Linked DNA regions of Macaca fascicularis. The protein of the gene in region 3 purifies or fractionates together with the protein of the main gene of each other region. This does not show direct contact. Links are inferred from orthologs where the notes say so. Each region holds a gene or a part of one and is shown on either strand. Other genes may lie near its edges.

Evidence for each region.
Region 1: the proteins of BOD1L1 (region 3) and CXXC1 purify together in Homo sapiens (affinity purification with mass spectrometry; 5 studies listed by BioGRID and IntAct, counting the BioPlex papers as one, with this or other methods). This does not show direct contact. The link is inferred for Macaca fascicularis from reciprocal best matches to the Homo sapiens genes BOD1L1 and CXXC1.
Region 2: the proteins of BOD1L1 (region 3) and SETD1A purify together in Homo sapiens (affinity purification with mass spectrometry; 3 studies listed by BioGRID and IntAct, with this or other methods). This does not show direct contact. The link is inferred for Macaca fascicularis from reciprocal best matches to the Homo sapiens genes BOD1L1 and SETD1A.

What each region holds. Positions count from the first base shown.
Region 1 is NC_088392.1:39,454,933-39,459,243, forward strand, and holds the start of CXXC1 (CXXC-type zinc finger protein 1), read left to right. Parts: upstream 1-1,366; 5' UTR 1,367-1,475; coding exon of another isoform or gene 1,476-1,478; intron 1,479-1,557; 5' UTR 1,558-1,640; coding exon 1,641-1,643; intron 1,644-2,179; coding exon 2,180-2,298; intron 2,299-2,398; coding exon 2,399-2,499; intron 2,500-2,784; coding exon 2,785-3,020; intron 3,021-3,113; coding exon 3,114-3,293; intron 3,294-3,688; coding exon 3,689-3,715; intron 3,716-3,792; coding exon 3,793-4,038; intron 4,039-4,200; coding exon 4,201-4,311. UniProt on the Homo sapiens protein: Transcriptional activator that exhibits a unique DNA binding specificity for CpG unmethylated motifs with a preference for CpGG.
Region 2 is NC_088394.1:29,162,107-29,164,418, reverse strand, and holds the end of SETD1A (histone-lysine N-methyltransferase SETD1A), read right to left. Parts: intron 1,569-2,312; coding exon 1,431-1,568; intron 1,353-1,430; coding exon 1,179-1,352; 3' UTR 539-1,178; downstream 1-538. UniProt on the Homo sapiens protein: Histone methyltransferase that catalyzes methyl group transfer from S-adenosyl-L-methionine to the epsilon-amino group of 'Lys-4' of histone H3 (H3K4) via a non-processive mechanism.
Region 3 is NC_088379.1:12,737,498-12,741,147, reverse strand, and holds part of BOD1L1 (biorientation of chromosomes in cell division protein 1-like 1), read left to right. Parts: intron 1-2,408; coding exon 2,409-2,526; 3' UTR 2,527-3,650. UniProt on the Homo sapiens protein: Component of the fork protection machinery required to protect stalled/damaged replication forks from uncontrolled DNA2-dependent resection.

The DNA.
Region 1 (4,311 bases), on a different chromosome or scaffold from region 3:
CAAGGGTTCCAGGCAAGTTCCTATTGTGTTTTAGTTTTGGTTTGTTTGTTTTCCTTTTTGCAAGTTTGCGAGGAGTCCTTAGAATGGCTTCCAGGCGGAGCGGGCGCGGTGGTTCACGCCTGTAATCCCAGCACTTTGGAGGGCCAAGGCTGGCGAATCACCTTAAGTCGGGAGATCCAGACCATCCTGGCCAACACGGTGAAAGCCCGTCTTTACTAAAAATACAAAAAATTAGCCGGGCGTGGTAGCGCAAGCCTGTAATCCCAGCTACTCGGAAGGCTGAGGCAGGATAATAGGTTGAATCCGGGAGGCGGAGGTTGCAGTGAGCCGAGATCGCGCCATTGCACTCCAGCCTGGGCAACAAAAGCGAAACTCCGTCTCAAAAAATAAGTAAATAAATAAATAAAAATTAGAAAGAATGGCTTCCAGGCTCCATTTTACAGCTGTTAACCAGAGTGACACCGTTTTGTATATCACATTTCACAAGAGATAATCAGGTATGAGCATACAGATCTATGTTTAAGAACGTTCGTTGCAACTTTATTTAGAATAATATTTAAAAATGTTCTAAATGCTAAACAATAAATCAATGTAAACTGTGCTTAGGCTTATTGTGCAGCTTATAGAACTAAAATAAAATTTGATATTAGTGTAACAATTGTTTTTAAATAAAAATAAAATAAATAGAAGCCGAACCGTGCCAGGCCTGGCAGAAGAATGACAAGTGGGAGGAGTGAGAGCCGGAAAGAGTGGTGGCAGGTGAAGTCGGAGACGACAGAGGAACTGGTTTCCTCCGCCCCGCAAGGCACACAGCCTGCCGACACCCCATCAATACATGTGGAAGGGGAAAGAGACAGAATGGAGGAATGAATACAACTTGATCCAGGTAGCGTTTCGGGAGCGGCCGCTTTACCTGTGAACCTCTCTGCCTGACAAGCGGCCAATATACGGTATCAACCACCAAGATGGCGGCGCCCTTGAGGAATCCGCAAATAGGTCGCCGCCATGTGTCGCCAAGGAACGTACGAATTCGCCCCTCGTACGGAATCAGATTCCAAGATGACGGCATCTATGAGGAAGTCACGCAGTAGGTGCAGCCATGTTGCCTGTACGTCCAGGCCGTACTAGCAGCCGCCGTACGGACTCTACTGACAAGGTGGCGACGCCCTCGGGAAAGCCACAATTGAGCGCTGCCATGTTCCCGGCGAACGTGTGGATTCGGCCACCATACGGATACGATAATCAAGATGGCGGCGCCTGAGGGTTCTTCGGGGGCTCTAGGCGAGCGACCTACTGGTTTGCGGCGGAGACGACGCACGGGGCCTGCGCAATAGGAGTACGCTGCCTGGGAGGCGTGACCAGAAGCGGAAGTAGTTGTGGGCGCCTTTGCAACCGCCTGGGACGCCGCCGAGTGGTCTGTGCAGGTTCGCGGGTTGCTGGCGGGGGTCGCGAGGGAGTGCGCCGGGAGCGGAGATATGGTGAGTACCGGGTTCAGGGAGGGGTTCGGCGGTGGAGGTTGGTGGGGTTGGCAACAGTGGGGTCTGTCGGCCGACTCAGGGGTCTGTGGTGAGCCGTAACCGGAGTCTGTGGACTGAACGGCGGGAGTCTGTGGGCAGAATGATGAACCATCTGGGAGTTCTATGGTGAGCCACGGTGGGGGAGTCCTTAATAGAAGTTTAGTGGGGACTCCGGGTGGCAGTTCCGTGGGAAACCGTGATCGGGGATTGTGAGGAGTCACACTGGGTGGTCTGTAGTGAGCCGTGACGAGGAGTTCGTGTCCGGGGATCCGTGGACAGCCGCGACTGGGGGTGGGTGCGGGTGCCAGGTGGGTCTATGAGGTAAACAGGGAGGGGTGCGTAGAGAACCGCGATGGGAAGTCCGCAGTGAATTACGCGGGGTCTGTGAGGCGCCACGATGGAGGATCGCGATGGCCCATTAGCGAGTATGGACGCAGGGAGCGGGTGTCGGTGGGTGCGTGATGGGAAGTATGGAGCAAAGTAATAGGATGTCAGGGGAAGGGATGGAGGTCAGTGGGGACTGTGATGGAGAAGTTTTTGGGGGGCCCCGATGTGAAATCTGCAGGCAGAGTGGGGATCCCTGCTGACCATGGTGGAGCTGTAATGGGATAAGCCGCCACGGTGGGGGCTGTTTAAGGATCCGTAATGGGGGTATCCCGCAGGAGGGAGATGGTTCAGACCCAGAACCTCCAGATGCTGGGGAGGACAGCAAGTCGGAGAATGGAGAGAATGCGCCCATCTACTGCATCTGTCGCAAACCGGACATCAACTGCTTCATGATGTGAGCCCGGGAGAGGTGGGCGGGGCAGACACTAGCAGGGTGGGGTGAGGCCGATGGGCCGCGCCCCTCACATCTCCACCGCCTGCCCCATCCTCCGCAGCGGGTGTGACAACTGCAATGAGTGGTTCCATGGGGACTGCATCCGGATCACTGAGAAGATGGCCAAGGCCATCCGGGAGTGGTACTGCCGGGAGTGCAGAGGTGAGGGCCATGGATGGACAGGGAAGGCAGGTGGGGCTTCAAGGGAGGAGGAGGAGCCATAATGGGGGGTCATGGGGAGTAGTGATACACGTCTGTGGTGAGCTGGAATGGGGTCTCCATTGTGAGTGGTAGTAGAAGATTCCACGGGAAGAGGCAGCTCTGCCCTGGACAGGGGTGCAGAGTAGGTGGGTGGGATAGTAAGGGAGAGAAGAGGAAGAAAGAGGTTTTGGGACCGTTCAGGCCCTCCAGTGCTCACTCACTTTGGCCCTACTCTCTGCCCCACAGAGAAAGACCCCAAACTAGAGATTCGCTATCGGCACAAGAAGTCACGGGAGCGGGATGGCAATGAGCGGGACGGCAGTGAGCCCCGGGATGAGGGTGGAGGGCGCAAGAGGCCTGTCCCCGATCCAGACCTGCAGCGCCGGGCAGGGTCAGGGACAGGGGTTGGGGCCATGCTTGCTCGGGGCTCTGCTTCGCCCCACAAATCCTCGCCGCAGCCCTTGGTGGCCACACCCAGCCAGGTGAGTGGCTGCATAAAGTGAGTAGATGTGTAAAGTGGTTCCGTTTCAGCCCTGCCTGGGTCCATAATTTCTGTTCTGGGCCCCCTCCTCCAGCATCACCAGCAGCAGCAGCAGCAGATCAAACGGTCAGCCCGCATGTGTGGTGAGTGTGAGGCATGTCGGCGCACTGAGGACTGTGGTCACTGTGACTTCTGTCGGGACATGAAGAAGTTTGGGGGCCCCAACAAGATCCGGCAGAAGTGCCGGTTGCGCCAGTGCCAGCTGCGGGCCCGGGTGAGCATGGACAGAGCTGGGTAGGGTCAGGTATGGGAGAGCTGGTGGGTCCATGCATGGTTAGTGTAGTCTAGGCATGGCTAAGCCAGGTGGGATTGGGCCTGACTGTATCTAGACAGGTGGGAAGGGACCTGTCATGTCCAGATGAATGGGGCATGAGCTGGTATGCTGGGCTGGCAGAACCCCCACCAACCCTGGGTGGACAGAGTGGGGTCAGGTGTTTCCAGGTGGTCATGCACGTCAGTACAGATAAGACAGGGGCGAGCATTCCTGGTAGTAAGGGGTAGTGGGGAGGTGTGTCTGGGGAGGTAAGGCCAGGCCAGGTGGGTGGGGCTAGGGCAAGGCCGCCCTCCATCCACCTGGGGCTGACCTGGGCCTTCCTCCTGCCGGCACAGGAATCGTACAAGTACTTCCCTTCCTCGGTGAGTCCAGCTCCCCAGGGTGGGGTGGGGCATGCGGGCAGGGCGGTCAGGGCCAGTCCTGAGATTCTGCCCCGCAGCTCTCACCAGTGACGCCCTCAGAGTCCCTGCCAAGGCCCCGCCGGCCACTGCCCACCCAACAGCAGCCACAGCCATCACAGAAGTTAGGGCGCATCCGTGAAGATGAGGGAGCAGTGGCATCATCAGCAGTCAAGGAGCCTCCTGAGGCTACAGCCACGCCTGAGCCACTCTCAGATGAGGACCTACCTCTGGATCCTGACCTGTATCAGGACTTCTGTGCAGGGGCCTTTGATGACCACGGCCTGGTGAGCAGATAGGAGCATCCCCTGGTGGAAGGGTGGAGGTTACAGAAGCAGAGAGTATCCATAATGAGGAGACAGAGGGTATGGAAGGCTGATATGGGACATGAGTAGGTGGTGGGGTTGTCATGAGCGGGGCAGGTGGGTCAGTGCATGCCCTGCTTGCAGCCCTGGATGAGCGACACAGAAGAGTCCCCATTCCTGGACCCTGCGCTGCGGAAGAGGGCAGTGAAAGTGAAGCATGTGAAGCGTCGGGAGAAGAAGTCTGAGAAGAAGGTG
Region 2 (2,312 bases), on a different chromosome or scaffold from region 3:
CCTTCTCCCTCCTGCCCCATTCCAGGAACAGAGACCCGCCCAGCCACAACCCCCACCACTCTTGCCCTAAGGCGCCCCCTGGCGGCCACTCTGTGCTCCACTGGCATCCGGGTCCAGCAGAGAACTTGGGGTGATGAAGCTGGAACTTGCTGAGTGGGCTAAGGGGTCCGGGGCTCTGGGTGGAGCCAGCGGGTGACCTCATCCCACAGTGTGACCTCAGGCCTTCCCTCCCGCTGGGCTTCCCAGGAGGCCAGAGGCCCAGCTGCAGCTGTGGTTCTGGGAAGGGGAGGCCTGACCTTGGCACTGCCCTGGCGGGCACTGGTGGGGGATTCCTGGTGTGGGTGCGGCTGCGGCTGCCACGGCCTGTCTAGGGGTCCAAAGCAGTCTCGGGGCCTCCACAGGTCTGGGTTGTTGCCTGAAGGCCCCTTTACCAGCCTCACACTTCAGGTACTCACTTTTCCCTCTCTTCATCTTGCCCAATCCTCTGTGCCCTCCACCCCCAACCCCTTGCTCCTGCCCAAATACACCAACCAAGCACTTTTGTACAATAAAGTTTAATCACAATTATAAAAATGTGGCGTCAGGTTTGCGCTATTAACATATGTACAGTCCAGCCCAGCAGAAGGGGCCCACCCCGCCATCCTGGCCTGGCTGAGCCGGGGCGTGACACCAGGGTGGGAGGGTGACCCTCAGGGTCTGGCAGGAACAGATGAGGCAGGGTTCCAGGCACGGAGTCCCCAGGACTGGGGGTGCAGAGCCCCCCCAGGGGGGGAACATGGCCACTGCCCCAGAGACCCCTAAACTGGGGAGGGGTACACGCAGGGCATAAGGGGAAGTCCCCATTAACACAAAGCGAGAGGACTGTGCAGCCCCTAGGACAGAATCTGTACAGGCCGGCACCCCAGGTTTCCACAGGAAACAGCTGCTGGCTGCTACAAAACATTTACAGCTTCTTCTCCGCAAAGAAAAACAATCAGGGGGTGGTGGGCAGGGGCGACAGGAGAGGCAGAAGCTGCCTCCAGGGACTGAGGCTCCCTCGCTGGGCTTGGGGCCCCCCAACCCCACGCTTGGAGATGGGGGCATGTGGGCCCTGCTGAGCCCACTAAGGCTGGGGGGTGCTGGGAGCTCAGGGCACCAGGGGGAATAAATAGGGGTGTGGGCACCCGTCCTGCCCCACCTCAGTTTAGGGAGCCCCGGCAGCTCTCCGTGCCGCACAGACACGGGATCTTGTTGTCTTCCAGTGGGAACTTGTAGTCGTAGGTGATCTCCTCGTCCACGCCGATAGGCTGCTTGGAGTAGATCACAATCTTCTTCTGGGACTCGATGGTGATGACCTTGGCGTAGCAGTTGGGCTGCGGAGGGAAGGGCATGTGAGCCGTGGCCACCCCCACCGACCCCCGAACTCCTGCCCCGGCCAGCCCCTGACGCACCGTGCAGCAGTGGTTGATGAACCTGGCCAGGTTGCCACACTTGGTGGCATCGATGATGGTGTCATGGTCCACCCGGAACAGGTAGCTGCTGCCAATGCCCTCCTGCACGTAGCGCTTCTCCCGCATGTCGGCCACCATCTGTCAGGGTGAGATGCGATGGTCAGGGAAGAGCCCCCCACTTCCTGCCCGCGAGCACACCTGCCAGCCAGCACCCCAGGTCCATGCCCACCAGGCCTGGAGCTGCAGCTCTGCCTCCGGCTCCCGCTAACCCGGCACTGACTCTCTCGACTCTGCTTCCAGGAGCCCTCCCTCTTTGGGGCAGCATACTAAGCCTCTGGTGGCCATTCTAAGTCACCCGCAGGGGACTCCAGGGAAATCTGCATCGGGAAGGAGAGCCACTGGCTCCTTCGAGCATCTGCCTGATCACAGTGGGGTCCCCGGACTGCTGGGGCAAGTCTGGGGCTGGGGCAGCTCCTGAAATGACAGTGGCCATGTCACCAATGGCACCCTGCTCATCTCTCCTCCCTGGACCTCTCTCCAAAACAGGCACCTGTTGGCTGCCACCGACCAATGCAAATAGCAGGCCGCCCATGTTAGGCCCCGCACCCCTGTGAGGAGCAACCCTTACTTCCCAGAAGACAGTGAGGAGCCTCTGCGTGCCCTCCTCGGGTGACCTCACTCCCTTCCAGAGCCTCAGCCGCCAGCTGTGTGGTGGGGACTCCTCCCAAACTTCCATTTCCAGCCAAAAGCCACCTCAGTGGAGCTGCTGGGCGTCGTCCCCTAGATGTCCCTGGGGCACTGCAACCCCACATGTCCAGACTGGAGCTCATCTTGACCACATATCTGTTCTTCCTCCTCACTCCCAGCTCACTGGCCATCCCA
Region 3 (3,650 bases):
CTCCAGTAAGTCAGATCCTTTCCATCCTGCTTCAGCCTGTTTTCATCTCTTCTTCTTGCTGCGCTTCTGGTCAGTACTGGGCACTTGAGATGCCACATAGCATTGGTTTGGTATATTCCTTTTATTTACCCCTCTGAGCTCTAGCTTTCTTTCTTCAGATAGGAACTTGTCATATTTTCTATACATTATCATATTCCAAAGTAAAAGACTCTTCACTGTACACAAAAACCGTTTTGACCTCTTACCACATTTTCATCTTCACAGCATACTTGCATGTATGTGCTGTTTTCCCCACGTTCTAGAAACGAAAGCAAACTATAGCGCTAGGCACTTTCACAAATATGCTCTCATTTAACTCTCATTGAGTGAATTGTAACAGTTACTTCTATTTTATATGTGAGGGACAGAATCTCAGGAAGGTTTGCATGCATACTACTCAAAATTGAACATGCAGTCGAATCACTTGAGGCTCTTTGTAAAATGCAGATCCAGGGTCTGTAAGTCTAGGGTGGGGCCTGTGAGTTGGCATTTCCAACAAGCTCCTCAGTGACCAGTGCCCCTGGTCACAGACCACATTCTGGGTGAACTGGAAGGGCCTGGATAAGCTACGAAGCTCACATGGCTGGGGAGAAGCAGCCTGACTCAGAGCTTCTGTTAGCTGCCATTTGGCCCCCAGCACAATGCTGCGCACGGCACCTTTACTGAAGAGGTGTTCCTTGAGTGGCTGGTGGCTTTCCATGGAAACGGTTTGAAATGGATTATCAACAAACACATTTTCAGTCATTGTCAACACATGCCAGAACCACATCATCTGCAACAATTTTTGACTCAATTTGAGTTTATTTACTTTTGCTGTCAAACAATAAATGAAAGACGTGTCTTCATATCAGTAGAGTCCCGTTTCTCCGTCTCTTGCAATTTTGGTTTTCCAAGCCTTTTATTCATTGACAGGACATTTACTGCCTGCTTGCCATGTTTTGGGCATTTCTGTAGGCACTGGAGTTAGAAAAATGAATAAATCTCAGCAGCTGCCCTAGAAAATCATTGGGTCTAATGGGAGAGATATATGTATATAAGACTTTCAAACTTTTTTGGCAACAATCCACTATCAGAATGTTTTGCAATACAGCTGGTGCTCACATTCCTGCTACTGTAACTGAAACAAAATTTTCATGAGTCAAATTTAGTAGATGTGATACAAGTGGTATTTTCTGTTGTGTCCTATTAGTATCTTGTTTTAAAATATTGATTGTAACTTGTAGTTACAAAATATTGATTGTAACTTGTAGAAACACAGCAGATAAATTACAATGATAAATGCTGTGGTAAAGACCTAAAGTCTTCATGTCAATAAAGTCGCATTTCTCTGTGGGGGATTCCAAAGATAGGGCATCTTGCTCTGTGATGTGGAAGGTGCAGGACTACAGTCCCAGATGGTGCACAAGTAGAAGGCAGAATTATAAAAGGCTCTGTGTGGGAGGCCGAGACGGGTGGATCACAAGGTCAGGAGATCTAGACCATCCTGGCTAACACGGTGAAACCCCGTCTCTGCTAAAAAAATACAAAAAACCAGCCGGGCGAGGTGGCAGGCGCCTGTAGTCCCAGCTACTCGGGAGGCTGAGGTGGGAGAATGGCATAAACCCGGGAGGCGGAGCTTGCAGTGAGCTGAGATCCGGCCACTGCACTCCAGCCTGGGCAACAGAGTGAGACTCTGTCTCAAAAAAAAAAAAAAAAAAAAAAAAAGGCTCTGTGTTCTATGCTCTGGATGATTTTCTCCTGAAAGCATCGGAGACCCAAGAGGAACTACTTCATACATCTCCTGGACAGTAACATGATTAATTGGAGTTTCCAACAAATAATTTTAATCACAGACTGTATCAACAGGGTATGCTGGTTACAGGGAGATTGGTTAGAATGTTCTTCTGAAATTCTTGTGGCTTTTTTAACACAGCTATTTTCTGTAATCCTGTGCTACGAAGTATGATTTTGCACTTGGTCCAACCTAGGTTGAAATCCTGCTGTGTTCTTGCTAATTGTTTGAACTTAGAACAGTTTCTATATTGGTGGGACCTACTGTTGATGTCTTTGTTTTATAGATGAAAGAACTAGGGCCCAGAGAAGGAAGTGGACTTGAGCACCATCAGCACCTAGAGTGTGGTAGAGCTGGAACCAGAGCACAGGCTTCACACTTCTCTTCCAGTGTCCTGTGTTTGTGTGTGAGTTTGACAGCAAAGAACCAGTTAGCTCGAGCTCTTCGCGAAATAGCTCCTTTTCGTGTATAAATTTTACTGGGTTTTTCTTTTCTTAGCTGTCAAGTTCAAAACTCTTCCATTTTTTTAAGGAACTCCCAAGTTATTTGAAGCAACTGCTTTTAAACCTCACCATTGCCTTGACTTTGCTTAATGCAGATCAAAGACACAGCTGTCCCCTTCTATCAAGCGCAAGAGAGAAGTCAGCCCTCCTGGGGCCCGAACAAGAGGCCAGCAAAGGGTGGAGGAAGCCCCTGTGAAAAAAGCGAAGCGATAATCCTGACCACTGCTGCCCTAGGCTTATGGAGGAACACAGTGGAGAGGAAAGAGACATGCCTCGGTGGCCATAGGCTTCTCTTTAACCAGGAAAAAGATATGCATGTGCTGTAAGTCCCTAGGTGCAAGCTTTTTCTTGTTATGTTTTAAACAGCTTTATAAACTATTGTTCATAGAAGATATTATGTACATTTATTTCAGATAAAGGACAATAAGTTTACTTTGTATCTGAACTCAAAACAAAGTAGTTGTATATTTTAACATTCAAAATTGGGATTTCCCAATGTGACACATCATGAATGCAAACCCCTCCAGCCCATCAGACACCAGGCTGCCTACTGGTAATCTGTGTATAGTATATAAACATGTAAAAATAGGTTGTATTTTACTCTATGTATGATGCTAATCAATGAACACTATTTATTTTACAGAGAAAACTTATCTGTGAACTTTACTATATATCTGTTTATTTTACTTTATTATTATTTTTTTTAAATAAAAAAGGGTTTTAAATGCTATGCAGTCATTAGTAGAAAATTTTTTAGGACTCTGCCTGCCCTGTAACTATCTTAATATGATCTGGCAGAAACTCGCATGTATCCAAGTAAAGTAGTTTAGCTAAAGAAAGTTTCTCCATTGCTTTTCTGTTCACAGTCGTGGCTCTGTTTTTTAAGAATGTAACGTTTTTAGATTATACTTGCATCTGTGACTTTACTACCAGCCCCATTGACATAAAACAGGTTCTGGTTCAGGTAAAGTTGCGTCAGTCACCTGCAGCAGAAACCCTCTCTGCTGGTGTTCATTCCCCTGCTCTGTGCTGTTCTGAAGCTTCTACCAATACTCTTTCCATATTGTCTTTTTCAGTGAAGAGAAATGCATTCAAGATTAGGTCCCTCCTGTCTATCCAGTTTCAGGATTTTATGTTGTTTTATACACAGTTGTTTCAGTATAGAAACTGGCTTTATTGCCAGGTGTTTTTTTAAACATGTTTTAACTCTCATATGAGCAAACTGTCCAACTTCAGTTTTTCATAAGATTAAACTTCTTACGATCAAATTTGTCTCTTGCAATGATGTGATGAGTTGCCAAATAATTGAGATTATTTTTAAATGTTTTGTTCATATT